Linked DNA regions of Mus musculus. Each later gene encodes a partner of the first gene's protein in a complex. Links are inferred from orthologs where the notes say so. Each region holds a gene or a part of one and is shown on either strand. Other genes may lie near its edges. The genes, in order: Snrpg, Lsm6, Crnkl1, Snip1, Sart1, Cwc15 and Gemin5.

Region 1 (4,072 bases):
CCATCCTAATGAGATCTGGCGCCCTCTTCTGGAGTGTCTGAAGACAGCTACAGTGTACTTACATATTATAACTAAATTGTAAAAGGTGCATACTGTAATTTCAGTACTGTAAGGCAAGCTGAGGATTTCCCTCCTGCTTTGAGGTCAGTCTTTGCTAAAGACTATCATTATTCATGTTCGTTTTCTAGTTTCAACTAGCACAGCAAGTGGTGGGGAGAGTGTATAGCTAAGCATTCTTGTGCTATTTTTTTGTTGATGACAAACTAATCATGAGGAGAACCTCAATTGAAGAGCTGCTTCCATCTAACAGGTCTCTGGACATGTCTGTGGGTCATTAATGACTACCATGAGAGAGCCCAGTGCACTGAGGGCAGTGCCACCACCCTGGGAGAGTGCACACCTTTATTCCCAGCCCTCAGGAGGCAGGGGCAAGCTCAATACCTCAGGACTTGTGTGGTACTCCTCAGCTTTTATGTATGGACTGTAGTGTGCTAAGTGGGTTCTGAAGGCAGCGTTAGAATTGCAGAATTGATGAATCAGAAATACCCCAGACACTGGATTCACGTCCTCAAGAGAATCCGCCTAGCCACCTTCCTGCTACTGATGCGGACAAGCTATTCTGTGCTTCAGGAGCCCTCGGCTTCGCCTGGATGTGCTTAGGAAATTAAGGGCAGCGTGGTGCAGATGCCGTTGATTCTAGCACGGGAAGCAACAGTTCAAAGCCAGCGTTGACTACACAGTGAACTCGAAGCCAGCATGAATTACGTCAAAAACAATGAGGAAGGGGCAGGGGAAATGACAAAAATGTAAAGAGAAAAAAAGTGTAGTAAGTGGGAAAAGGAAAGAAAAGAAGTGACACACAGGCTGGAGAGACGCTTCAGCAGTTAAAACCACTGGCTGTTCTCCCAGAGCTCTGGAGTTCAATTCCAGCACCCACATGGTGGCTCACAAGCATCTATAGTAGGATCTGAGGTCCTCCCCTGGCGCGCAGGTGTACATGTAGAGCACTCATACATAAAATATAAATGAAGGGGTCTGTTTTTAAAGTGACCTGCCACTTCAATTTTACACAAAGGAAGCTTAGCCGAACACAGCCTCTCCGTCGTGGCCTGTCACTGGCGACGCAACCGGAAGCGTGGCTCTGGTCCGCAGGTTCAGACATCCCCATCAATATCGCGAGATGAAAGGTAATGTTCTCCGAAGGCGATTGGCTCGCGCGGCGGTGACGTCAGACACCAGCGCCAAGCCTGCCTTGCGCGCGTTTCTGAGCCTGCTCACTCCTTCGCCGTTGTGCCGAGCCCGCAGAGGAGTCGCCATGAGCAAAGCCCACCCTCCCGAGCTGAAGAAGTGAGTAGAGTCGGCCCTATCGAGACTTCTGTCTCGCTCGGGCTGCCGCCGCTGGTCCCGACGGTCGCGGGAGCCGGAAGTGGCGCTAAGGTCCGGTCGGCATGGTTACTGCAGTGCCGGTGCCTCTGTCTTCCCAAAGCTGGGGCTCTCCTAGGCGGGCAGCCAAAGGCAACCTGGTTGGGGACCAGGGCAGCGGTCGAGGTGCATGGTTGTGAGGAACCGGAGACTCGTGGGCTTAAAATGATCGATTGGAGTCGGACGTGATTGGCTGTGATCTATGGGGCCAATATTCAGGAAGCTTAGGCAGGAGAATTACCGCGAGTTCCAGACCAGCCTAGGCTTAAAAAAAAAAAAGACACTGTGTCTCAAAAAGTTTAAGGTGAGGTAGCGTTTTGTGTTTCAATAAATGTGCGCGTTCATTTGCGTTCATCAAGAGAGCTAGGTTTAGTTTTGGGGTTTTTTTTTCCCCTTTTTGGTGCTCAGAGACATGTTTAGTTATATGTTTGTGCACGTGGGTGCAGCTCCTGCGGAGGCCAAAGCGGGCATTGGATCTGCAGAAACAGAACTTGTAGGAGGTTGTGAGCCCTCTGGCGTGGTTAATAATAGCTGGACTCGTGTCCTCTGGACAAGCAATAAGCGCTGGGCCATCTGCAGCCCCAAGAACTAGGTTTCTGATACACTGTCCTTGTATTCAAGTTACATTTAAACGTTGTGTAATATCTTGCTCTGGCAATAAATCCATGGAAGGACATCCATTTTCTACTTGTAAAGAGCTAATTTCTGAAGAATTTTATTCTGTACCCAGTAAAATCAGACAGACCCTTTGGTCTCAGACACTTCTGACTGGCCTGAACCTGTCGCATATGCACATAGTCATTGGGTTGCTCAATACAAGATTAATACTGGGTCTTTTCTGGTGTAGCCAGAAAATAATCTGTCTTGTGTATAGCCTGTTTGCTACTGTAAAGTTCTGTCAAGACCCCAATGCAGGGGAAAGATAACAACATTTGCTGATTTTTGTATTTGAGTGCACATTTTAATCAAAGCCCTCTGTGTGAAACCCCTGCAGTTTTGTTTGAATCTGAATCTGTTAAACCGGGCCTAGAGAGTTGGCTCAGAGGTTGAGAGCACTGACTTCTCTTCCTAGAGGTCCTGAGTTCAATTCCCAGCAACCACATGGTGACTCACAACCATCTGTAATAGGATCTGGTACCCTATTCTGGCTTGCAGGCCTATAGGCAGAACACAACATAATAAAGATGTATTAAGCCATAAGTCTGACATTTTAAAAAGAAGTTATTCTGCACTGTTTGTTTTGATGATGAGCTAATAAATGAGGTCTGGATTTAGCAGGAATTGGCAAAATGGCATTGGTTTTGAACAAAAGCACTGTTCCCTACCTGTAATCTTCAGTGTCCTCTGATTCTTAACAGATATACTTGGGCCTTTCAGAGACTGGAACTAGTGATTGTGTCCATATTTTTATTGGCGTGTTTGGAGCAGAGCCTGTGTGAGCTACTTTGTCACTGAACTTCTCTTCTCTGAGTTGATGCCTTTTTCTCATCCCTACATTTTATCAAATTTGAAATACTTTTAGATCCGCCTCCTTATTTTCTCATAAACACCTCCTTTTACAGCTATTCACTCCTAGTTTAGCATAACTCCATAGTTCTTAATCATTTCTGGTCCCGTGTCTCAGTAGTTTCAAAGTTGAGCTCCTCCCAACTCCTAAAATGTGTTGCCACAGAAAGTCTTAACCACTGATGAATTCTGCTATACTAGTTTATATCACCACAAAGTCAAGTCCAGACTTCCTAACCCAGCTTTGAAGCCCCACCCCATCTGCAGTCCAGCAGCCATATTTTGCATGGTATATGACTAAAAACAATTTTCTGCACATTAGTGTCTCAGTTACTGACCTCTTGCTGTATAGAGGCATCGTGACCAAGACAACTCTTATAATAAAGAAAGCATTTGATGGGGACTTGCGTACAGTTTTAGAGGCCATGATCATCATGGAAGAACAGGCAGGCAGTAGTTGAGAGCGTTACATGCTGAACCGCAGCAGCAGGCAGGGCAGAGAGACACTAGGCTGGCTTTTGAAACCTCAAAGCCCACTCACTCCCAGTGCCACCTCCTCCAACAAGGCCACACCTCCTAATCCTCCCAAACACTTAATCAGCTGCGAACTAAACATGCACATAAGTGACTCCATGGAGGCCATTCTCATTCAACCTCCACACTGAATGTCAGTTCTCCATCTGTATAACATGGTAATAATAGTACCGGAATCGTAAGTGTTAAATATGTTCCTCTGTTGATTTACAAAATAACTCCTAGTAATTTATAAATGTTATTTATAAATCTATTTCCACCTTCAGATTCTTATGGCTTAAATTTATATTTAAATTCTATCATGGTCTATACATTAAAACTCAGTGAAGCAGCCGAGCAGTGGTGGTGCACGCCTTTAGTCCCAGCACTTGGGAGGCAGAGTCAGGTGGATTTCTGAGTTTGAGGCCAGCCTGGTCTACAGAGTGAGTTCCAGGACAGCCAGGGCTATACAGAGAAATCCTGTCTCAAAAAAAAAACCAAAACAAACAAAACAAAACAAAAAACAATTCAATGAAGCTCAGCCTGGTGGCATAGGCATGTAATGTCTGCTACTTGAGAAGCTGAGGCAAAGAACTACAAAACCAGGGTAGCTAAGAAACACTGTCTTAAA
Region 2 (4,148 bases), on another chromosome or scaffold:
ATGCAGTGTGTGTATCAAACTGTATTCACCCAGTGATATATATTAGCCATGTTAGACTCAGTCTCCAAAGAGACTTTAAAAATTCAAGAGGACAAGAAAAATCTCACTTCTCTAGTAGTCTTGGCACCTGAACAGACTGTGTGTGGAAGAGGCATTCAAAGATGGTATCAGAAAGTCCAATCCCTCCCTTACCCGTCTACAACCATAGCTACTAAACAGGCATGGCTACTAAAGCATCATGCACGCACTTCAACAGCTACGAGCCTGCAATTCTTTTCTAACAACCATTAAATACTAAAAGAAAGGAAAACAGAAATGCTTGGTGGTCAGAGCCAAGCCTAGGAAGAAGCCTGGTCACATACAGATTTCTGACACTTACTCAGTGTTTGCTTCTTACTGCATGTTTTTCTCGTTTGTCTTATGTAGTGGGGCGGGGCAGAAGCAGCTGCTCCAGCGTGCATATGATGTCAGAGGTCACCCTTGCGAGGTGTCCAGGTTTGGCCATGAGTGCCCTGACAATTGGGTTACTTAGGCTAACTCCTAAAAGCAAGCTGCTCTCAACCAGAGGTGACTTTTGTGCCTCACCCTGGGGACATTTGAAAATGTCTACAGTCTGTACTGTCACTACAGGAGAGTGGTAACTAGGATCTAGTTTACAGAGGTCAGGGATGTCCCTCAAGACTCTACAGTGTACAGCAGTGGTTCTCAACCTCCCTAATGTGTGAGCCCTTAACACAGTTCCTCATGGTATAGTGAGCCCAACCATAAGGTTAATTTTATTGCTACTGTTATGATTTGTAATGTAAATCTCTGATATGCACATGCAATTCCCGAGGAAGGGTCGCCAGACACCCCCAAAGGGGCTGTGACCTTGGGGTGGGAACTGCTGGCTCAGAGGACAGCACTCTACAACGAAGGACTGAGTGGTGGGAGTGGTTCAACACGTCAGCTGACAGAAATGCTGCCAGGGAGCCCTAGCCACCACCTCGTTCCCTCTCTCTCGGTTTTCTGGCTTAAACACCACGGGATTTTAGGAAAGGCGAGCCTTGGCGTGAGAACCAGATGCTGAGTAGGCAAGCCCCTCTGTGTCTGTGGGTTTAAAGTGTTTACGGATCCAGCCAACCTTGCCTCACCTGGTAAAATGAAGCTGTAATTACTTGTCCAGCGGTCTCTCTGCTACCCAGACACAGACTTTCCCCTTGCTGTACTCCCTAAGCAATACTCTACTGCAACCAGTGACATTAAATGGCACGTTGTGAGTAATCTAGAGATGATGTGAAGGGCACAGGAAGACTGCACAGTTTATATGTAAACACAGAGGAAACCTGAACGTCCATGCACTTTTCGGTACTGGGAGGGATAACAGTAGCACTTATCAGAAGTATCTGATCCCAACACGGGGAAGCTGGAAGCAATCGTCAAAGTCTTGAAAGGGTTGACCTTCAAAAAAATAAATAAATTTCTAGTGCTGAACACAAAAATGTAACTTTTCTATTTTCCAGTCCCTCAATCCAAAAGTAGAAAATAAGCCAGGGAGTTAAAAACAAAACAAAACTTTCTTTAAAGAAGTTCTATTATCTAGTAGGCCACCCTTCAGTGAGAGAAGAGCTGCTGCAGTCGTTAGGGGTACTCACTTGGGAGGCAGGAAACCTGAGTTCTAATCTCTGCTACTTAATTATCTGTGCAGCTTGCGTAACTCATCACCATTTCACCTGTCACGGCCCCAGGCTCATCTGCAAAATAAGGAAGTTAGGCTAGATGGGTACTGGCTGTCTCTTCCTGTTCCAGCATCTGATTAACATGTGCAGTCAGTCAGTCAGTCTGTCTCTCTGTCTGTCTCTGTCTGTCTGTCTGTCTGTCTGTCTCTCTATCTCTCTCTCTCTCTCTCTCTCTCTCTCTCTCTCTCTCTCACACACACACACACAGTCACAGCCTGCAAGTTCAAACTCCCAATAGTAATTCCAAAGTGAGGCTGTGCTTTGCTACTTTAGAACCACAGTAGGCCCTTTCACGGTTTTGAAGAGCCAAATAAATTACTAACACTTTAAGAAAAACCAGTCTCGCAATGTGCAAGAACCATCTATGCTAGTAATTGAAAATTTGAGGAATAGAAGTTAAGGCATCACGATATCGTTCGGGATGCGAAAATGAAGCAAAAAACTCACACCCAAAGACGTCAGCCTGGGAAACAGCTGAATAATTTATGAGATCCACACAATAAAACAGGGGGCCCAAACGAGATCAATGAATTTTAAAATCACAACTTGTCTCATTTTAATGTAAGTATAAAACTAAATACTGGTGTGTGGTTAAAAAACTTGGTGGTCTTAGCTGAAACAGAAACAGGCCCACACAAGAGAAAGGGAGTTGGTGTGCCGAGGCCGTCAGCAAGGACCATTTCCTCCGCTCGTCTGTATTTACTTTCCGTCGCGCAGGGCTCGCGGGTGGAGGAGGGCGCCGAAGTCGCGCGCCACCGTAACCCTGGGCGCTCACCCCAATCGGCGCGAAGCGCGCGCGCCACGGGAGCGCGCCCGGCACCGCGAGCCCGCGTGGCCCAGACCAGCGAGCATCTCCTGGGACGCAGGCCCGGCTCGAGCCGCTCCCCGCCAGCCCGGACCATCCGCGGCCTACGCCAGCCGCTCCCACCCGGAGTGCCTGCCCGCACCCATTCATTCCTCCCAGGCCGCGGGCTCACCTTGCAGCCGGATCCAGAACGCTCACAGGCCGGGCTTCCGCGGACGCGCGCGCCGAAAACCGAAACCGCCCCCGGCAGCGGCTTTCCCATCTCACCCAATCAGCGTCCTCCTTGCCTATGGCGACCCGCGGGGATCAAAAACAGTCAGAACGCGTTAGTGAGCTGGCTTCCAAGACCGGGTTTGTTTAATGGTACCGTCGGCACCCAGCCAGGGCTTGAAGTAAAGGTCCGATATTCTGATATTCTCTCTTTTGCCAGAAAATAGAATACGAAAGCAAAACAACCAACCAAGAGCTAGAAGTGATCTTGTGTGTGTGTGTTTACAGTAAAGAACCTTAAAATATTAAGAAACGGAAACTTACAGTTAAAACGATGGCTGTTGAGCACCCCGAAATAGCCTTAAATAATTTAAAACAAATACAAGTTAAAAGCCTCAAACCCTCAAACTAACTTCTGCATATAAATTAAATGTATGAAGAGATTGTTTCCATGGGAATGCTGAAACAAAAAAATAATTCAAGCAACTCTGAATTATAACGGCATCAATTAGAAAACGTTACAAATTAGTTTAATTGGAAACTGCATGCAGATACTATTTAAGTAGTGTATGGGAACTTGGTTAGGGATACTTCATGAATTCTTAATGCATGCTTTTTATTTATGGAAGAAAAAAAGTCACAGGAAGACAATTTCTTCTACCCCCACGATCTCTTTATATTTTAACTTATATTTTATATTTATATTTTAAATTTTAATTCTGTTTCTGTTGTTTAACATTCAACAAAGTTATAATACCTTCAAACAACAGCTACATAACCCTGATAAGTGTTACAGGATCTAAGATGCAGAATTGTTTTCTGAAACACAAAGTGGATTCCTCCTTTTCTACGTGCCTTTGATTGATATCCTGGACAGTGATCTACCTGCCTTTGGTTGATACCCCAGACAGTGAACAACTGGGTGGAATTTGGAAAAGAACAGGAACATCCTTCTGTCTGTCTGTAAAATTCCAGTTGATGTCAAGACCAAATAATTACAGACATTGATCAAACAGCATTTTAGGCTCTTGAAATATAAAATTAGGAACACAGGTAAAGTCACATTTAAATCAAAGAAGGAGCACGCTATGCCTTGTCCCTAAAATAAAAACTGCTTTATAGGTCAAATTGGGGGCTGAGGATTTAGCACAGTGGTAGCATATCTAGTGTGCATGAACATCTCTGGCACCACAGCGGTAGTGGCATAGTGGCGCTCACACCTGTAATCCTAGCACCCAGGCATGCGTGCAGGAAAATCAGAAATTCAAGATCATCCTCAGCTACAGAATGAGTTTGAGACCAGCCTGGGCTATTTGAGACCTTGTCTAAAAAAAGAAAAAAGAAAGAAAAATCAAATTGTGCTACATACTACATTTCTTACTGACTGTAATTATGATATGCGTATTATATAGAGA
Region 3 (3,500 bases), on another chromosome or scaffold:
CGGTGGAGTTTTTTGGGGATGAGCATATGGACGAACACCTCTATGTGGCCTTTGCTAAATTTGAGGAAAACCAGAAAGAAGTAAGTCACAATGAGTTCATCTCTGTTTCATTTTATTTGCTTATCCATAGAGAAAATGTTTTCTAGAGAAAAACCATAATTTAATACGGAACTGAATGCATGTATTGCTGAGCTCTACATTGGAGCTGAGTGATCATTACAGTAACTGTCTTAATTTCATTCTGCTCTGTGTGAAAATTACGTCTTTAAAGATGAATACCTGGAGTTAGGTGTCTTGGCACATGTCTCCAACCCCAACTCTCACAAAATTGAGGACTGACTCAGGCTGAGGCAGTAGAAGCATGACTCTGAAGGCAGCACAGTACATAGACCTTTCTCGGAAACACAGAAGTACATGTATAACCTGATGAAGAGTCATTTGGTATCCTGATTCAAGGGTCTTATAGATAAGTGAGCTTGGGAGGCAAAGAACCAATGCAACCAAGCAAAGGAGATAATGTAGAATGGAAACAGATTGTCCCACAAATAAGCCAGTTCTTTTCTTCCATGGTGTACACAGAAAAGAAGGCGTCAGAATTGGAGGGGTCAGCTTGTCTCTAGGAGGCACAGATTAGAAGGTTTTAAGTGGGACTGTGACTGGACAATATTTTAGTGAGCTTCTGGCTAGTTCATGAAAGTACTTTGGAGAAGGGTAGGGGCATAGCAAGAGTGAAGCCAGGGGAAGGCTGAGGATGTAGCTCAGTAGGAGAGCACTTGGGAACACAAGTCAAGTTCTGGGTTTGATCATCAGCACTACCTACCAAGGAGGCAGGTGGTAAAACCAGGGAATCCAATGAGATTTAGAAAAGAAGGTGGGTCAGCAGCAGGGTAGAGGAGAAAAGGGCAATAGTGAAGAGATAAAAATAGATTGACACTTGTTCAAAGAGTCATGGAAGGAGAGGAGAGCACGAGAGGAACCAAAGCAGACTCATGGGGCTTTGGGCGTGAGCAGGCATGCCGTGGAGATGTTGCCTACCAGCCTGGGAGAGGACCCAGGATGGAGAAGGTTTATGACAGTACTAAATAGGGAAATGTTAATGTAGAACTATTAAATATAGAACTATTTTATTAAATATGAATCTTTTCTGATCGAGGGCCTCAAAATTTAATTTGTAAGTAATAAGTTTCAGTTATTCTCAAGGTGTGAGTAAAATGAGATTATGTTTTAGATGATAATCTTCCTACCTTCTTTTAGTTTGAAAGGGTACGAGTTATCTACAAATATGCCCTGGATAGGATTTCAAAACAAGAGGCCCAAGAACTCTTTAAAAACTATACCATCTTTGAGAAGAAGTTTGGTGACCGGAGGGGTATAGAAGACATCATCGTGAGCAAACGGAGGTTCCAGTATGAAGAAGAAGTGAAGGTGGGCACTGCTGTAGAAGGTTCATGTTAGAGCTCTCTGGCCTGCGCACATACCAGCAAGTGGGGCTACTGATTACTCTCTTGATGACGCCTTAGCCGACTTGACAGCTGTTTCAGACAAACTAGAGTAAATGTGGCTGGTAGGAAGAAGAGCAAGCCATACTTGGATTTACTATGCCATTCCCAGGTGCAAAGACCTTTAACTGATAGCAAACTGAAGAAATGTGGATCCTAGCACTTGGGAGATAGAGGCAGAAAAGTTGTTAGTTTGAGGCCAGCCTAGGTTTCATATCAAGTCCATGCATGAAAAGAAATACGGCATATATTTGAGCTCATTTTTGGAAAAGGATGGGAGGGTCAGAGATGGTTCCAAACACCTGCTTGGCATGAGCAAGAGACCTGCAATAGGCAGTTCTGTTCTTATCTCTGTAATATATCCTTTTGACTTCAGTCAAAGGTAGCAGGATTTTCTCTCACTGTTCTGTATATCTTTTGCTTAGTCAGATTGAGATAACTTCTATCAAAGGACTAAGTCTGGTGTTAAGTAAAGTGGTAGGTCAGTAAAATGTGTTCAGAAAAAAAATTACTGTTATTTGAAAGGTGGGTTCCCTGATTTAGAGTCTGATATATACCCATTATAATTTCATTATCATAATGGTATACAGCCATATGTGTAAAAATACATGTATACAAATTCAAAGCTATATACAGTAAGTAGCTCAAGCCTATGTAGTCCCAGGTCTGGGGAGGCCAAGGCAAGATAATTATGAGTTCAAGGCTAGCCTAGGATATGGAGTGAGACCCTGTCTTAGAAACAATGGAATGTCATTATCAAGCAGTTCTGTTACATGATGACAGCAGAGGAAAGAGTCTCTGCTTCAAGGTCCCTAGCCAGCAACCTTTTATGTTCCTTTTGTACAATCTTAGGGATGATGTTTTAAATAGAGATAGCAGGTAAAAATCTTAAGGGAAAAAGTGCTAAAATATAGCAAGTTTGATGTTTCCTTACAGTTCTGACAGCCTGTGAAGTCTGGCTCTTGGTTCTGTTTTTATTGATTAAGCTGGGGGTTTTTCTAGGCTAATCCACACAATTATGATGCATGGTTTGATTATTTACGCTTGGTGGAAAGTGATGCGGAAGCTGACACTGTGCGGGAAGTCTATGAGAGAGCCATTGCCAATGTGCCACCCATCCAGGAGAAGAGACACTGGAAGCGCTACATCTACCTTTGGGTTAACTATGCACTCTATGAAGAGCTGGAAGCCAAGGTGAGAAGGTGAATGTGGGGCAGCCGTGAGTACCTTCCTTACCCAGTATCATGGCTTTGCCCTGCTCTGCATAGTAACTGATAGCTACAATCTTTGAGACAGTTTTAATTTTTTTTTTAATCCATCGATTTAAATCATTCAAACTATGCCTGTTAAGACTTGGTGGTAGCCGGGCGTGGTGGCACACGCCTTTAATTCCAGCACTCAGGAGGCAGAGGCAGGCGGATCTTTGAGTTCAAGGACAGCCAGGGCTACACAGACAAACCCTGTCTTGAAAAATCAAAAAAAAAAAAAAGACTTGATGGTGTTTTATCTTAAAACGTTGAGGTACAGTAAGGTAGCTAGCATTTAAAACAGTGGACCAGTGAAGCAGTTTAATTACATATAGTACCTAATAATGTCTTTGATCACAAATAAAGATCATGGCCAGATTGGTAAAAATCAAGTGGCATTTCCAGAAGTAGGTAATGGGTAAAGACTGTCTTCTGTTCATCTGAGACTATCTGCTGGCAGGCTAAGGCCTCTCTACATTGTGCATTCAAACTTTGATAGCCACATTGTTACTCTTAGAAAAAAGTTTGATGATCAAAAGTAGGTGCTATTTTTTATCATAAATGAGATCAATATTTAAAAATATCACCTTGAGAAATGGAGGTCTGTTTTCACTACAGGCATGAAATTAATTGATGAAATAAGCATTAACTTTATTTATTTATTTATCATCTTAATGCAGGATCCCGAGAGAACAAGACAGGTATATCAAGCGTCTTTGGAACTAATTCCTCACAAAAAGGTACACTTGCTGGG
Region 4 (4,221 bases), on another chromosome or scaffold:
GAAGGTAAGTCACTACCAGACCTCTTCTTGGACTTGACTACCACAAACCCCATCTTTTCCATGTGACTTTTCTCATCTTAAATTTGTCCTCTAAGGTCATAGCTAGGCTTCTTGTTCTCTTCTCCCAACCTCCATCCCTGTCCCAATTCCCTTGGCTGTCAGCCCCAGCAATCTGTCCCCTGAAATTCCAGAGATCCTCAAAGCTGGGATGTCTTTTCCCCATGGGAGTTTGTAGGATCTCGCGTCCCCTGAGACGCCTGTTCATACCGTGGGGCTCCGTTTCTCTGTATTCCGGCTCACCAACACCGGGGTGTCATATTTGAGCAGAGAGTCTGCTGGGGGTATCATGGTGGCAGTAGGGGTAACAACTCCGTAGCGGCCCCTGTGGAGTCTTGTTTGCGATCACCATGGAAACCCCTCCTCTCCTTGCCCCATGGATGGGGCGGGGCCTCTGAGGAAGGCGGTGCCGGCCGCGTGCAAGTTTTGTTCTACTGTGCTTTCTCCGCAAGCACTAAGTTTCTTAGTAAAGAAGACTGGACCCCTAGCGTTAGGTCTGTTTCGGTTTATGATGAAATGGACAGACCACCTTTGATTAAAACGGAAGTCATCTAGTGACTCTATAGAGTATTTGGCGACGATTGGCATTTGGAAGCCAGAGGCTGGCAGATCTTTGTGGATTCCAGGACAGCCAAGGCTATATAGAGACACTATTTCAAGAAACAAAAAAGAGTTTCACATTGTTGAGTGTCTGTGTTTCGTAACTACTAATAACGCGCAAGGAACAGAGCTGGGTTAGCTTTCCCACAGGTTTTTTTCTTTTTTCAAAAAAAAAAAAAAAAAAAAAAAAAAAAAGCTGGGCGATGGTACCACACACCTTAATGACAGCATTTGGGAGTCAGAGGGAGGCAGAGTTCAAGGTCAGCCTGGTTATAGAGTGACTTCTAGAACAGCCAGGGTACACTGAAAACCTGACTATGACGGGGGGGGGGGGAGATTGTCATATATATTTTTTTGAGGTTCTGGGGACTAATCCAGGGCTTCGTACTCGCGAGGCAAACGCTCGCTCGGTAACTAAGCTACAATCTCAGCCTTCCCTCCCCTTTTAACTCTTGATTTCTATTTGGCGGTGCTGAGGATGAATTCAGAGCTTTGCGATCTATCCGAGCTACAACTTTTTCAGATTTTGAGACAGTTTCACTAAATTGCCCAGGTTGGCCTCGAAATTACTGCGATCCTCCTGCTTCAGCCTCCCGGGGGGTTGGCCCTGCCTTTTCAGTACTCCAGCCACACCTCCCAGCAGCGGGGACCCCGTGGCCACTCGCGCCGGCGTCCCCAGCGTCTGAGACTCAAACACCTGGGGCCCCGCCCATCAGGGGGGCCGACACCGTGAAGGCTTCTGGGATAGCGCGCTGCCCGGAAGCGGAAGTGCAAAGCTGTCCGTCACTTCCTACGGCTCAAGTGGCTCAACGGACCGTGCAAGTGACTCTCGGTCGGGCCGCAGGATGAAGGCGGGGAAAAGCGAGCGGGAGCGGAGCGGCCGGCGGCGACACCGGTCAGGCGACGCTCTGACGACCGTGGTGGTGAAACAGGAGCGTCTGAGCCCCGAACCCGTCGCGCACCGCCGGCCCGACGCTCCAGCCGCTAGCCTGTCCCCGCCCGCCGCCGAGCCTGGCCACTCGGGTCACCGCGGGAGCCGAGCCCGGTAAGCGAGCCGGTGATTGGGCGGAGGACGGGATGGCGCGGGGGCCGGTGGTGCGAGCGGCTCTGGAGTGCAGAGCACCTGTTGAGTTGAAATGAGATTTCCCCCGCCTGCCCGCGAGTGGATGGTGCGAGTGGCTTCTCCCCTCGTCTGCCTACAAAGACACGTTGGGTCTTGGCGACTTCTTCGCAGCACTCATTCGCCAATGCCTCCATGTGGCATCGATTTATTGAGTGCGTAGTGTGGGTTAAAGATCAATTGGAGGTACTGGGTCACAAGGCAAAGAAGAGAGATGCTTTTTCCTTGGCGAAGTTGGGCAGGCTCTAACTCGAAGAAGGAAAACAACAAATAGATAATTTCAGTCAGTATTAAAGACAGATCAAAACGGCAGTGTGGTAGCGAGAGGCTGGGTAGAAAAAAGAGAGGGCTTGTACAGAGGTGCTCCTTAACGGAGACCTGGCTGGTAGGATTGATCCATTCTCTTGAGTCAAGAGTCTTTTAGCAAAGACTCCAGGAAGGACCAACCCACTGTGGTCGGGCATGCTTGTAACCCAGCAGAGGGGATGCTGAGACAGGAGGTTTCTGAGTGTATACACACAAACACGGCGCGTGCACGATTATGACAGAAAAATATATACATAGAACCTGAGCTGGAATTCTGTTTGTTTTAGAAGTTGAACAACAGCAGCAACAAAAACAAAAACAAAACAGCCAGCATATCTGGAATTGAGAGATGGAGCAGCATTGTAGGCTGGTAGGAAGGATGTGGGATGGAGGACAGGGCAGGGCCCTGAGACCTGCCAAGGGATTGGTTTTGGTTGTTGGAGAAGGGAGTTGTGTTAGGGAAAAAACCAGGCTAGATTGGCTTCCTGGATAGTAGTGCCAGATAGTAGGATGGCGCATCCGGAGAAGAAAGGTTTCTGAGGCGTTGGGGTTGGAGAATAAGGTTGTCTAGGTGAGAAGGCTTAGCAGGCCATTGTGTATGTGGTTGGGAGAAGTGTTTATGGGAAGTGAAGGCCTGCTGTGGCTACTGATCTCACAGATGTGTTGTGTTTAGTAGGTGAGCCTGATCCTGGAAGCTAACTTACTTTCGGGAAGGAACTTTGAGGTAAAAAATCCTGTGTACCATTCTCTGTAAAGGTCCCCAGCCAAGAAGAAAAGCAAGTCCTCTGGGAGAAGAAGCAAGTCACCACGGACCAAGAGAAGCCAGAGTCCCCACTACCCCATGGTCAAAGTGAAGCAGGTGAGTGAGTGAGTGAGTGAGTGGGCAGGGACCATGGGTGGAAAGCTCCAGCCCAGAGCTGTTGCTGAACCCCAAGAGGTTGGCAGCCAGGTGTGGACATGCTTCCTTGTCACTGCAGTGGGCTTTTCTAAAAATGGGATATGTATTTGGGGCTGTTTTTCCTGAAATTTTAACGTTTGGAGACAATTGTTGATTTGATTCTGATAACTCTTGTCAGAAATAATACGGAGAGATGTACATATCCATGTTTCTCTCAATGGCAACTTCTCGCACAGCTGGACAGTGTCGTGGTCAGGACACAGACGTTTCACCACCATCAAGGTGCCTCATGATGTCTGATACTTCTCCGCCTTTATCCTTCCTTACCTCCTGGCTGGCCGCTTCTCTCTTTCTATTGTTCTGGATGCACACTTAAGCCCAGGGTCTTTAGGTTAGAAGATTGTCCTTGGTGCTGTTGAAACCAGCACAGATGGGTCACGTTGGGTCTGTGAGTGCCCATGTGCTGTAGGACCAGTTTTTCTTTTTCTTTCTTTTTTTTTTTTTTTTTTTTGAGACAGGGTTTCTCTGTGTAGCCCTGGCTGTCCTGGAACTTACTTTGTAGACCAGGCTGGTCTCGAACTCAGAAATCCGCCTGCCTCTGCTCCCGAGTGCTGGGATTAAAGGCGTGTGCCACCACGCCCGGCTAGGACCAGTTTTTCAAAGGACATTGGTTGTCTCCATTGAATTATTTTACTCCCACATTGAAACTCAGTCAGGTATATGTCTATCCATGCAGACTCGATTACTGCACTTGCATAGTAAGTCTCAAACTGAATGTCCTCTTTGCTGCATATGAGCTGCCATGTGGGTGCTAGGAATTGAACCCAGGTCCTCTGGAAAAAGTAGCCAATGCTCTTGTCTGTTGCGCCATCTCTCCACACCACCCTCCTCTTTTTCTTTTTTTCCTTTTAGCTGTTCTGGTTCTTTCGTCTCCATCTCTATGTAAATGTTCGAGAGTGTGTGTGTGTGTGATAAAAATCTTTTAAAAATAGTATTTTTTTGCATGTGTATGAGTGCTTTCCCCGCCCCTGCATGTATGTGTATGCACTGTGTATGTCTGGTGCCCACAGGGTCCAGAAAAGAGTACCAGAGTCTCCAGAACTTGAGTTAAGGCTGGCTGCAAGCCACCTCATGGGTTCTAGCAACTGACCCAGCTCCTCTGGAAGAACAGAAAGTGCTCTAACTGTAGAGTTACCTTCTAGATTCCTTAGTAACATCTCGAAAGAGGCAGGTGTTGTGG
Region 5 (3,500 bases), on another chromosome or scaffold:
ATACAAACCTAAGTCGCTAACCTTCTCCACCCGCTGACAGCGAACCTGGGTTCCTGTCTGCCCTTGGCATCAAGTCTCCTGCTACTTGGTAGCCCCTAGGCCCTGCTCTCCCTAAGGTGTGGCAGCAACAGCACCAACCCAATTTCCTGAAAATAAGTGTGAGCTTTTAGTTAGGTGGTGGTGGCACACACCTCTAATACCAGCACCCAAGAGGCAGAAGCAGGTGGATCCTTGAGTTCAAGGCCAGACTGTTCTACAGAGTTCCATGACAGCCAGGGCTACACAGAGAAACCCTGTCTCAAAAAAGGAAACAAAAAAAGTGACCTCTGACCAATGGCCATAGCCAGTAGACACCATAATCAAGCACCTGAGACTTAGAGAAATGGACACTCCTGCACAACCATCACTAGCCAAGATCCACAGGCACAGCCGAGAACACCAACTGACCTCACCTCTTTTATGGTCAGTGTCTCAGGAACTGCTACCTAGTATCACTTATAAACAACTGGGTTTCCTGTCTCTTGCTTTTTTCTAGTTATTTGATACACTCACCAGAGACCCACATGGGGCTAGCTTCAGTAACTGACACAGGGCACTCATCTTCTGATTCAAAGTAGCCACCTGTGGGGCAGGGTCCTCCCACAGCCTGTGGCTCAGCAGGGCTTCTTCCACAGCGCCTTCCTAGAAAGCCCATCTTTCCAGGCACAGTTGCAGGCACCTAGCAGGGTGGCTCAGTCCTCGTATATAAGTGCACTCGAGGTAACCCCTACCCCAGTCCTGGGATGACCCTCATGCCTCCACAAATGCCACAGTAACACAGGGGACAGGAGGTAACATCTCTACCCTTCCAGAGAGCCTAGGCAATCCTTACTTAGTACCCTGAAAACTGTAACCAGGACAACACAGGGTGGTTAGTGGCTCTCTAAGGCCTAGCAACACGCATGTGACCAGTCTGAAAACAGCAATGATTTGGGATCAAGAAGCCAATTTGACCGCAGTGTGACAGGTACACGCCACTGGGTGGAGGGCTTCTGTTACAATGGAGTCAGCTCACAGAGGAATGTCCTCTGAGGGACCAGGCTGGTTTCTCACCTCCTCTGTTCATTAAATGGCCAGTCTTACAGGCAGAGATCAGACTTTAAATCACACAGGTTCAAGGATCAGGCCCATCCGCTCCTGGATAACCAGAGAGTGAACGAAAGAGCTCACCGGCGCCTCACGCATGAAGCAGGTGTTCTGACCACTCGGAAGGCAACACAGAAGGGCGAGGAGGCTCAGCGACTTGCCAGATGGCAGAACTGACCGTGACAGAGGCCTTGCCTAGGTCTAACCTTAGACAGCAGCACAACCAAGAGGAAAAATAAGGAGGGAACTTTATTTAACACTACATCTGGGCCAGGGAGGAGGGCGGCTTCATTTGGTGATGGTGTTCCTGCAGGGAGAAGAGGGTGGGCGATGAGGCTGTGAGACTGGAAAGGGGATGCAGTGCCTCCCCACCCCTCCGGCTCCTACTCACGCATTCATGCTCTTGCCACTGCCACTGAGCACGATATACGGTGTCTTCTGGGCCTTCTGCTTCTCCTGGAGCAGTGCCACGGTGCCCAGGGGCGTGTCACTGGAGCTCATTTTCTTCAGGAGCTGTGGGGCCACAGGAGGTCAGAACAGGGGGAGCAGGCCCAGCATATCACACATCACCCAAAAATGCAGAGCCCCCACCTCCCTCCCAAGACCCACCGCCTCCTCATCCAGCTTCTTCATCCGCCGCTCAGTCTTCATCTTGCCTGAGCCCTTTCCGTGGAAGCGGTGGGACAGCTGCCGGAATGCCTGGGATACAGAGCAGGAGCAGAGGCATCAGAAAGGCCAGGCAGCCGGGATGTGGGCGCACGCCTTTAATCCCAGCACTCGGGAGGCAGAGGCGGGTGGATTTCTGAGTTCGAGGCCAGCCTGGTCTACAGAGTGAGTTCCAGGACAGCCAGGGCTATACAGAGAAACCCTGTCTCGAAAAACCAAAAAAGAATCCAGGGTCCAGGGTGAGCCTGCCTCTGGGAGCTGGAGTTAATGCCAGCAAACATGGAACCAGCATACAGAGATGGGAAGCAGCAGGGGATGCTGGTAGGCATACTCAGGGCACAGGGCTTCAGCTGTGGCAGTCAGCACAGGTGTAACCTTCCTGACAGCCAGCCTGTGGGAACTTCAGTACTACGCCCAAAGTCAGCAACGGAGGCAGAATTCACCTCGTCACCTGTGGTCTGACCATCTCCACAAGACCCTGCTCACCTCCTTGGGAGTCAGTTTCCTGCCCGTCTCATCCACGTATTCAATCTTAACATCAGGCTTGTAGCCATCTTTCTCCTTGAAGTCCTGGGTGAAGCCCCTGTACTCCTCCCGTCGGCTGTACTTGTCATCAATGGCCCTAGACCAAGGCAGAGGGGCTCAGGGTGAGCTGCCTGCTGCCTACCCCATGTTCACAGCTGCTCCTATTTCATGTCGCCACGGCCACACTTACATCTTATCCTCGATGCAGTACACTGCTGAGGGCAGTGACTTATTGGGAGCCTTCACCCGGGCCACCTTTTGTACTGTGGTCTCCAGCAGTCCTAGGGACAGAGAAGTTTTGACACCCAGCTTCATACAGGTCCCTCAGAGCCCTGCTCAGGAGTTAAACATGCCGCATCTTTACGGACATCAAAGATCAGCACTTCCCTAAGGAGGCAGCACAGCTGGGATCTGGCCCCAGTGTATCCGGTTTAGCCCACTTCTGAGGCACGGAAGAGAAGCAGACCTCTCACCCCGCAGCAGGAGAGGCAGTGAGAGGCTCCGCGTCTAGGGAGCTGCTTGAAGCCCCGAGACTGAGGGGAAGAGGAGTGGAAACCCAGGACACCATACAGTACTCACAGGCAACCATCCAGCCCGTCCCGGCTATAGTACCCACACTGCCAAGGCTCCCACCCTGAGCCCACACCTTTGTTCTGACACAGGAGCAGGGCAGCAGCCAGCCCTCTGTTCACGATGGGCTCCTCATCCAGGATGGTGGTAGAGGAAGCAGAGAACTAGAGGTGAGAAAAGAGAAGTGTGAGCAGGCTGCCCCATCTCTTCTATCCAGCGGTCATCCTCACCAGGCACTAGGCTGTGGGACCAGTTTTAACTGACCCCCAGCTGGCTCTGGAAGGGTTAGTGCCCCTTCTATGGATGGGTGGAGGCTTTCAGGCACTGGACAACTAGCCTGGGTCCCCACACCCACGCCCACCGGTGCTCACATCCTGATGCTGCTTCTCCTCATCCAGGTTGACGGTGCTCCAGCCAATGTTCTCTTCCCCATCTGATTCAGAGCCACCGTTGGCCGAGCGCTCCTCATCCCTTTCAAAGTCCTAGGACCACAAGTCAGTGTCAGGGTGGGCAGCCTCAACCCTACCTGCTACATTCAAGCACTAGAAGCAGAAGTCAGCAGCCTAAGGACAACAGCCAGGGAACTGCTGACGTACCATGAGCTCTTCCTGCTC
Region 6 (3,500 bases), on another chromosome or scaffold:
GGTACCCATATGCATGCATGCACACACGCTAAATATATACAGAAATACTTTTTAAAAATATAGACAGTATTGTAACAGTGAAGAAAGTATATAAGAAAGGTATAGATCGCTAACAATAAAGCATAAGAACAAACGATATTTTATATAAATTAATTGAAGTACATATTATTAGAATGTGACCATCTTTTACATGACAGTTTGTCTTGTCTTAGGAATTACTCCCTAGTTAATAACTAATTCATCCTAGAGATGGAAACTTAACATGGTTTGTAACTCAAAATTGAATTATGTTGTCTGTAGCCCCTTAAAAAGTGAGACAACAACCTTGCTAGCATCTCAGCTTCTCACAGTTTAGAGAGGCCAATGACTATTGGCAAGGATGGGATAAAAATGGCAACGTGCTTAAGTTTTATTAGTAAGATTTTCCTGGCATTTACTAAGAATCAAAAAGAGGAGTGGGTCAGTGGTAAAGTGCTTTGTAGCAGGCCTTGCACCACCCCATCCCTATCACTGCAAATGGGGGCCTGCACACCTACCATGCACTCAGAAGGTCAAGGTCATCCTCTGCTACCTAGCGAGTCCCGTGCCAGCTTGGGTTGCTGGAGACCCTGTCATTAAACAGAAAAAAAGGAAAAGTATCTTTTCTCCCTGTACCAGATGAGTTCATTGTGGGCTAATATTGGTCAGCTGACCTGGAGAGAGTAACTTTGTGTCTTCCTCTGTCATTGACAGGAACAAGAACAAAAAGCAGAGGAAGAGAGAATTCGCATGGAAAACATTCTGAGTGGAAACCCTCTCCTAAACCTCACTGGCCCGTCCCAGCCTCAGGCCAACTTCAAGGTTAAAAGAAGGTACGAAAAGTCATGGGTTGGTGTACGTGTGTGACCATGGTTAGTGTTCCGTGTGTTCTATAAAGTTTCTAGGATCCCACTTTCTGTTGATAACCTTCCCAATCAGATTTTAGAATACGGAAGATGAAAAGAGGTGGGAGACTTCATTTTAATGCATACTTATAATAGCCAAGTCTCTGCTTAGTGATTGTCTAAATAAGAGAGCCAGAGTGACTGTAGCTACCAAGCTTTACGTGAGATGTTAGTGTTGGGGTCCCCAAGACCACCCCTCACAATTCAATTCTAGAAGGACTTAGGGGACTTGGTATGGTGGTATTCATGTTTGATATTATAAGATACACACAGATCATACAGTTGTAAGTCTTCATGGATATACATCCAAGTCACAAGGTGGAGAGATATAGGCTTCCTTAAAATCCTGTTCCTTGTAAGAGGTCACCAAACAGTGAAACTAAAGTTGAGACTCAGGAGTCTCAAGGGAGTGGTCCTGTAGGAACCTGTGCACTATAGGCACAGTGATGGTGAGAGAAGGTGCGGGTTTCCAGTGCTAACTAACCAAAGCTACGCTTAGAGTCGGGGCCCAAGAGGGAACTCTCATGTACAGTGTGCAGAGGGGGACAATAAAGAGCTGAAGAGGGACACCGATGTCGGATGAGGATGCCTCACAGGAGCAGGGGTAGTGTGTGTGAGGGTGTGAGGAGCTCCACTGCCTCATCTCTGCATACACGGCAATGAAGAAGCACTGCCCTGCCACTCTCCTGCTCACTCACTCAGTACCTACCCTTCATGAACAAAGCTCCGTCTTCAGCCTCTTTTCTCATCCCAGAACCATTGGCTTCTTTACTCAATCACAGGAAAAGTACAGCCCTTGTAGTGACCTATGCAGCTAAACTTTAACCCACATTCTTGAAGACAATAGTACAGTCAAGGAGATGGTTGCTGACAACTAGCAATTTATCATAGCTCAGTCTCTATTCATTTGACCTGAGCAGTTGCGAGGCAGGAATGAGGATGAGTATGGCTTATGCTGAATGTGAAAGAGGAAGCAGGTTTGAGGCATTGTAGGTTTGGAGTGTTCTGTACATCTCTTAAGTAAATCTAGCCTGTGTGTCTCTGCAGTTTGTCTAAGCTAGAAATTAAATAATGCATCTGGGAGTTGCCAGCGTGGGCAGAGAGAAGTCAAAAGATTGTATCAGCACTAGAGAAGTGCCCAGTATAAGTGCATAGTAAATGCATAATACATAGTATTTGAATTTAAAATCTTATGCTAAGACTTAGCAGCCAGAGAAGAGGACAGCCAAGAGAGTCACAGAGTATTGGGAGAGGAGAGAGATGATGGTCTAGGGATGGTGATGTAAGTGCAGAAAGGGAGGACTGTATCTTAGCATTGCAGAGGGGCAGGGCAGTTTGGGTGTTGGGAGCAAGCGAGGAAGTGAAGAGAAGCTATCAATTACATGTTGCATATGAGACAAAACATTTGTATCCCTGTCACACTGAGCAGGTCAGCTTTTAGTGTGTGTACTGCATCAAGACAAATTTACTGACATAGTTTCCATAAGTGTGCATAGCTTTGCTCATTTCCCTTGTGCAGTTTCTCCTGGTGGTCATGCACCAGCACATGCAAGCATGTTACATGGGCTGTGTTTAATGCATGTTTTTGAGTGTCTTTATTATATGTAAGGGCTTATGTTTATGTAGAAGGTCATAGCTCTGGTCTACGTATTTCCCGTAACACCTGCTGATGAGTGTGTTTAATGTTTTCTGAAATATAACTGAGCTCTACTCTGAACACTTCAGCAGCCATGGGTCTATAAATCTTTCTTGTTACATTCCTGTAGTTCGTCCTTGCATTATGAAGTGTGCCATGGTAGATATAACTGATGAGAATGTATGAAACTGTACAAAGCACAGTAAACAGGTCACTTACTGTCTGAAGGTGTCTGGATCAGGACAAGTGGCCCTGCCTCTGTGTTTTAAATCTGAAAATACCACACTTTTACCTAAGCACAATCTATGTGTGTCTTCTTTGTAACTGACTTGCTCCTAGTGGAGAAGTGGTGTCTGCTCTGAGTGGGGATGCCCTCCTGCTGTGACAGCCCCACACAGTAGGCATGCTGCTGCTTTTGCTGTCTGGTGACAGCATGTTGAGCATCTGTGATGGTTTATAGTCTGTTGTGTTCTTGTCTCCTGATGAACTATAACAGATTTGTTGTTTGTTTTTCCTCTTTAGATGGGATGATGATGTCGTTTTTAAGAACTGTGCAAAAGGTATAGATGACCAGAAGAAAGACAAACGATTTGTAAATGATACACTGCGATCTGAATTTCACAAGAAGTTCATGGAGAAATATATTAAGTAATATAGTTTTATGTGCTTAATTAAAAACTAAACTGTTAAGGATCAATTTGACTTTTTTTTTTGGTTTCTGTTCTTTCCCAGTGTTAACTTTCTCAGTCTCTTTCCCTTAGTGTAGTACTTTATTAGATAATGGGTTTAGAAATGGATCTAACCAGGCCTTAGTTTCTTTTTAATATGGGAAACGGGGAATCTGCTTGTAATAAATATTTTTAACCTAAATAAACCACTGTCCCCAACTTTTTGCTACAATTTATACAGCTTATAAAAAGTTGCATAATTTCTTTTCAAAA
Region 7 (3,500 bases), on another chromosome or scaffold:
GCAGGCTGGCCTTGAAGAGGAAAGATCCTCTTGCTTCTGCCTCCCAGGTGCTGAGATTAAAGGCACATGGCACTATGCTGAGCTTTGTGAGAGATTTTCTGGATTGGATCTGAAATCAGAAGAACCATCCACACCTGGGCCACACCTCCGGGCCTATATAAAAGGCCATGGAAAACCTTTGCTTTTGACCACTTGTCCTCACTCTCGTCAGCATCAGAACCTACTTCTTTAGGATCCAACACAGACTGAAGACCAGCAGCTTTCTGGGAGTCTTCCCAGACTCTAGCACTAGATTGCAACTGCTGAGCAGTCTTGTGCACTGAATAGCTACTACATCTTTGGCCTTTCCATCAGGAGTCAACTGTTATCAGACTATCCAGACCACAGCTTGTAAAACACTCTAATAAATCCTGTCTGTGTGTTTCATTCTATCAGTTTTGTTCCTTTAGAATCCTGAGTAACCCCCATCCATTGTCAGACATCTTGCTGCTCCCCCCTCAATTCAACTGTCTGTTTGTTTAGCAAGGTCCCTTTTAAGTTGATCCCCATACTTTGATGTGACTCAGTTCTCTGAGTACATCTTTTCTTTCTGGCATAAGATGTTGTAGGTTCTTTCATTTCCCAGGGTTGCCTGACAACCCTGGTAAGAGTTCAGCCATACTTGTTACAATTTGGCAGTGCTATCCTTGGCCCTGTAGGTTACTGACCCATCCTACAGATGCTAGGTGGGTTCAGAACAATTACTAAAGCAGAGGAAAAGAAAATCAGAAACAACAGTGTGTAGGCTCTCCAACTTCTTCTAAACCAACCTTGAGGAGGCCGGGAATGGTCCTGCATGGAAGTCAGCCACCTGTAGACACAGAAGTCATCTGCACCTGAGTAGATGCATTCTGGATCCACTGGGGACCACGCGACACATAGCAGCCGGCCTCGATGTCCTCGGAAATTGAACAAAGGTTCTTCCCGGAGGGCATCCCACACCTAAAACCACAGCAGTGGACAGAATGGACAATTGCTGGTTATTCTATTGTTCTGTGTCATTATTTGCTCAGTTACAAATACACTCAAGATGGGCTAAGGCATTCATGTGACAACACCAGCTCCCAGGGGAGGAGCATGTGTGAGAGGCATTCCTATGGAAATGATCCACTGCTGCTCTGTGGACCACATTATCTCAAACCAGAATTGTGTTAGTATTTGTCCTGGGGAGCTGGCGCCGTGGCCCACACCTACAACCCCAGCATGGATAGTTGAAGCAAGAGGCTTAAAGCTTTGAGCATAGGATCATGAGACAGTTCAGTGGAAAAGACACTTGCTGCAAAAGTCCGATGACTTGCGTTCAATCCCCTGGACCTACATGATGAGAGGAGAACACCAACACCTACAAGTTTTCCTGGCCCCTCCCCACCTCCAGCATGCACACAGACTCGTACTGTTTCTATCTCTGTCTCCGTCTTTGTCTTCATCTCCACACCCCCCCTCATGCATGTACATACCTATAAAATAAATGTAATTTTAAAAAACCAAACCAATACAAAATACCAAGAGTCTTAGCACAGCCTACCTTACACAGCAAGACCCTGAAGCAAAGGCCCAAACAAAAAAAGTGCCTATAGTTAACTGACATCTTCATGTTGGTTTGGCTGAAAGAGACTTTTGGGCTACAGTGTCTACAGAGAGTAATCAGAAGGCAGCACACTGACTGTAAGGCCAAATGTATGACGGAACTACAAGGTCTTCTGGCTCCTCCTTTCTACAGACAACAGAAGGGGAATGAAAAGAATCCCAAACAGGGAAGAGGACATTAAATCAGACTACACAGTGAAGGATCCTGAATCAAGGACACACAGTACCTGAGCTGTGCCATCGTAGCAAGCAGATACCAGCCTTCCGTCATGATGTGGGCTCCATGCCAGACTGGTAATCTTGGCTGTGTGCCCCGAGAGGGTGCGGTAGGGCTCTGTGATGGTTATTGGAGACTCAGGATTGCTTTCTGAAGGGAAAGGGGGAGAAGTCACAACAACAGTCACAGGAAGGGTGCATAGGAAGATAGAACATGACAGGAGGCAAGGCTTTAGTCTTTCTCAATGACCAAGAATTCTCAACTCACTAGATTATAAGAGCCACAGGATCAGGGAATTTGCTGCCAGATTGTGTCTCCTTTAAAAGACCATGAGGTCTCATCAATATGGCTGCCCAACCATGACCTGAACAAAGACGACACCACTAATGTAGAAGGGAGAAGGCTCATGATGCCTACACAGACAAAGAACTACATGCAACTTAGAAATACTGAGAGGGAGACACAGCCTTCCCCAGGAAAGAACACATCAACTGGTAATCCAACATCAAGTCATCAGCCCTGAACACATAAACGTAAAAGCAACACTATACAGACTGGGCAGGTAACACTTACACATTTAGGAATATGTGTGTGCAACAATGATTAAAAAAAAAAGAGCCCAAGATTTGAAAGAGAGCAAGGTCTGTACACAGAAGGGTTTGGAGAGGGAAGGAGGAGGAAATGACATAACTGCATTATAAGCTCAAAATTAAACAACTGTTAAAGATGAATGCAGCTCACTGACATCTGACATGCAGGCCACCATAGGAAATGTGCTACACAAAGGCACCGACTCTAAAGCAACCTGTCCTGTACATAATTACATTCACACAGGACTTTAGATAGTAAGAGATTATCTGGAGCCACTCGTGAGAAAATACTAGATAAAACAACCAAACAACTGTTCTTGTTTCCAGTTACCACCAATTCCTTTACCTGAAAAAATCTGACATTTCTTGGTAATATGGTCTGCTCTGCTGATATGGTGACAGATTACCTCATCTTAAAAAAGGGAACGGGGTGAGGGAACTGGAGAGATGGTACAGTGGTTAGGAGTAAAGGCTGCTCTTCCTGAGGTCCTGAGTTCAATTTCCAGCACCCTCAGGACAGCTTATGACCATCTATAAAGGGATTGATGCTTTCTTCTAGCATGCAGGTATACATACAGCAGAGCACTCATATACATAAATTAAATAAATAAAATTTAATAACAACAAAGAACAAGAAAACCCAACTGATCTGTGAAGTCTCTATACCTACATTTAAAGGTTCTTTCCCTGGGCACAGGACTGCAGATTATAGTTGGACATGAAGTACAAGATGCAAGCCAGCACTCAGAAGGCACAGGCAGGAGGATAGTGCTCAAGGCTACAGGAGGCCAGCCTGGGCAACATGAGCCCGGCTCAAAACTCCTGCATCATCCCAGCCCAGAAGTCAGTGTTACCTAGGACTGCTTTCAGGTTGTGCACGTAGATGACTGCATTGTTGGAGCCAGAAGCAAGGAGACAGCTCAGCTCTGGACGGCTGCCATGCTCATGGTGCCAGACTATGGCGTTCACAAGCTTGTGGTGCTGCTGGATGGTGCACAGCAGCCTCAAGTTGGGGACTTGGAATATTTCTATTGATCTGGAACGAGACACAGCAGGACGAGAACGAT

Evidence for each region.
Region 2: Snrpg (region 1) and Lsm6 share a complex: the UniProt entries of both Homo sapiens proteins name them as parts of the U4/U6-U5 tri-snRNP complex. The link is inferred for Mus musculus from reciprocal best matches to the Homo sapiens genes SNRPG and LSM6.
Region 3: Snrpg (region 1) and Crnkl1 share a complex: the UniProt entries of both Homo sapiens proteins name them as parts of the minor spliceosome. The link is inferred for Mus musculus from reciprocal best matches to the Homo sapiens genes SNRPG and CRNKL1.
Region 4: Snrpg (region 1) and Snip1 share a complex: the UniProt entries of both Homo sapiens proteins name them as parts of the minor spliceosome. The link is inferred for Mus musculus from reciprocal best matches to the Homo sapiens genes SNRPG and SNIP1.
Region 5: Snrpg (region 1) and Sart1 share a complex: the UniProt entries of both Homo sapiens proteins name them as parts of the U4/U6-U5 tri-snRNP complex. The link is inferred for Mus musculus from reciprocal best matches to the Homo sapiens genes SNRPG and SART1.
Region 6: Snrpg (region 1) and Cwc15 share a complex: the UniProt entries of both Homo sapiens proteins name them as parts of the minor spliceosome. The link is inferred for Mus musculus from reciprocal best matches to the Homo sapiens genes SNRPG and CWC15.
Region 7: Snrpg (region 1) and Gemin5 share a complex: the UniProt entries of both Homo sapiens proteins name them as parts of the SMN-Sm complex. The link is inferred for Mus musculus from reciprocal best matches to the Homo sapiens genes SNRPG and GEMIN5.

The regions. Positions count from the first base shown.
Region 1 is NC_000072.6:86,370,268-86,374,339, forward strand, and holds the start of Snrpg (small nuclear ribonucleoprotein G), read left to right. Parts: upstream 1-1,272; 5' UTR 1,273-1,315; coding exon 1,316-1,347; intron 1,348-4,072. UniProt on the Homo sapiens protein: Plays a role in pre-mRNA splicing as a core component of the spliceosomal U1, U2, U4 and U5 small nuclear ribonucleoproteins (snRNPs), the building blocks of the spliceosome.
Region 2 is NC_000074.6:78,818,353-78,822,500, forward strand, and holds the start of Lsm6 (U6 snRNA-associated Sm-like protein LSm6), read right to left. Parts: upstream 2,801-4,148; 5' UTR 2,696-2,800; intron 1,734-2,695; 5' UTR 1,635-1,733; intron 1-1,634. UniProt on the Homo sapiens protein: Plays a role in pre-mRNA splicing as component of the U4/U6-U5 tri-snRNP complex that is involved in spliceosome assembly, and as component of the precatalytic spliceosome (spliceosome B complex).
Region 3 is NC_000068.7:145,924,701-145,928,200, reverse strand, and holds part of Crnkl1 (crooked neck-like protein 1), read left to right. Parts: coding exon 1-80; intron 81-1,254; coding exon 1,255-1,425; intron 1,426-2,501; coding exon 2,502-2,693; intron 2,694-3,426; coding exon 3,427-3,486; intron 3,487-3,500. UniProt on the Homo sapiens protein: Involved in pre-mRNA splicing process. As a component of the minor spliceosome, involved in the splicing of U12-type introns in pre-mRNAs.
Region 4 is NC_000070.6:125,065,251-125,069,471, forward strand, and holds the start of Snip1 (smad nuclear-interacting protein 1), read left to right. Parts: upstream 1-1,421; 5' UTR 1,422-1,502; coding exon 1,503-1,702; intron 1,703-2,756; exon of another isoform or gene 2,757-2,839; coding exon 2,840-2,942; intron 2,943-4,221. Other genes in the region: Dnali1 (axonemal dynein light intermediate polypeptide 1), read right to left, coding at 268-348. UniProt on the Homo sapiens protein: Required for pre-mRNA splicing as component of the spliceosome. As a component of the minor spliceosome, involved in the splicing of U12-type introns in pre-mRNAs. Down-regulates NF-kappa-B signaling by competing with RELA for CREBBP/EP300 binding.
Region 5 is NC_000085.6:5,378,704-5,382,203, forward strand, and holds part of Sart1 (U4/U6.U5 tri-snRNP-associated protein 1), read right to left. Parts: coding exon 3,483-3,500; intron 3,369-3,482; coding exon 3,258-3,368; intron 3,051-3,257; coding exon 2,963-3,050; intron 2,598-2,962; coding exon 2,507-2,597; intron 2,414-2,506; coding exon 2,278-2,413; intron 1,825-2,277; coding exon 1,735-1,824; intron 1,639-1,734; coding exon 1,517-1,638; intron 1,433-1,516; coding exon 1,414-1,432; 3' UTR 1-1,413. UniProt on the Homo sapiens protein: Plays a role in mRNA splicing as a component of the U4/U6-U5 tri-snRNP, one of the building blocks of the spliceosome. May also bind to DNA.
Region 6 is NC_000075.6:14,507,119-14,510,618, forward strand, and holds part of Cwc15 (spliceosome-associated protein CWC15 homolog), read left to right. Parts: intron 1-732; coding exon 733-851; intron 852-3,081; coding exon 3,082-3,211; 3' UTR 3,212-3,500. UniProt on the Homo sapiens protein: Involved in pre-mRNA splicing as component of the spliceosome. Component of the PRP19-CDC5L complex that forms an integral part of the spliceosome and is required for activating pre-mRNA splicing.
Region 7 is NC_000077.6:58,144,540-58,148,039, forward strand, and holds part of Gemin5 (gem-associated protein 5), read right to left. Parts: intron 3,470-3,500; coding exon 3,288-3,469; intron 1,994-3,287; coding exon 1,854-1,993; intron 982-1,853; coding exon 810-981; intron 1-809. UniProt on the Homo sapiens protein: The SMN complex catalyzes the assembly of small nuclear ribonucleoproteins (snRNPs), the building blocks of the spliceosome, and thereby plays an important role in the splicing of cellular pre-mRNAs.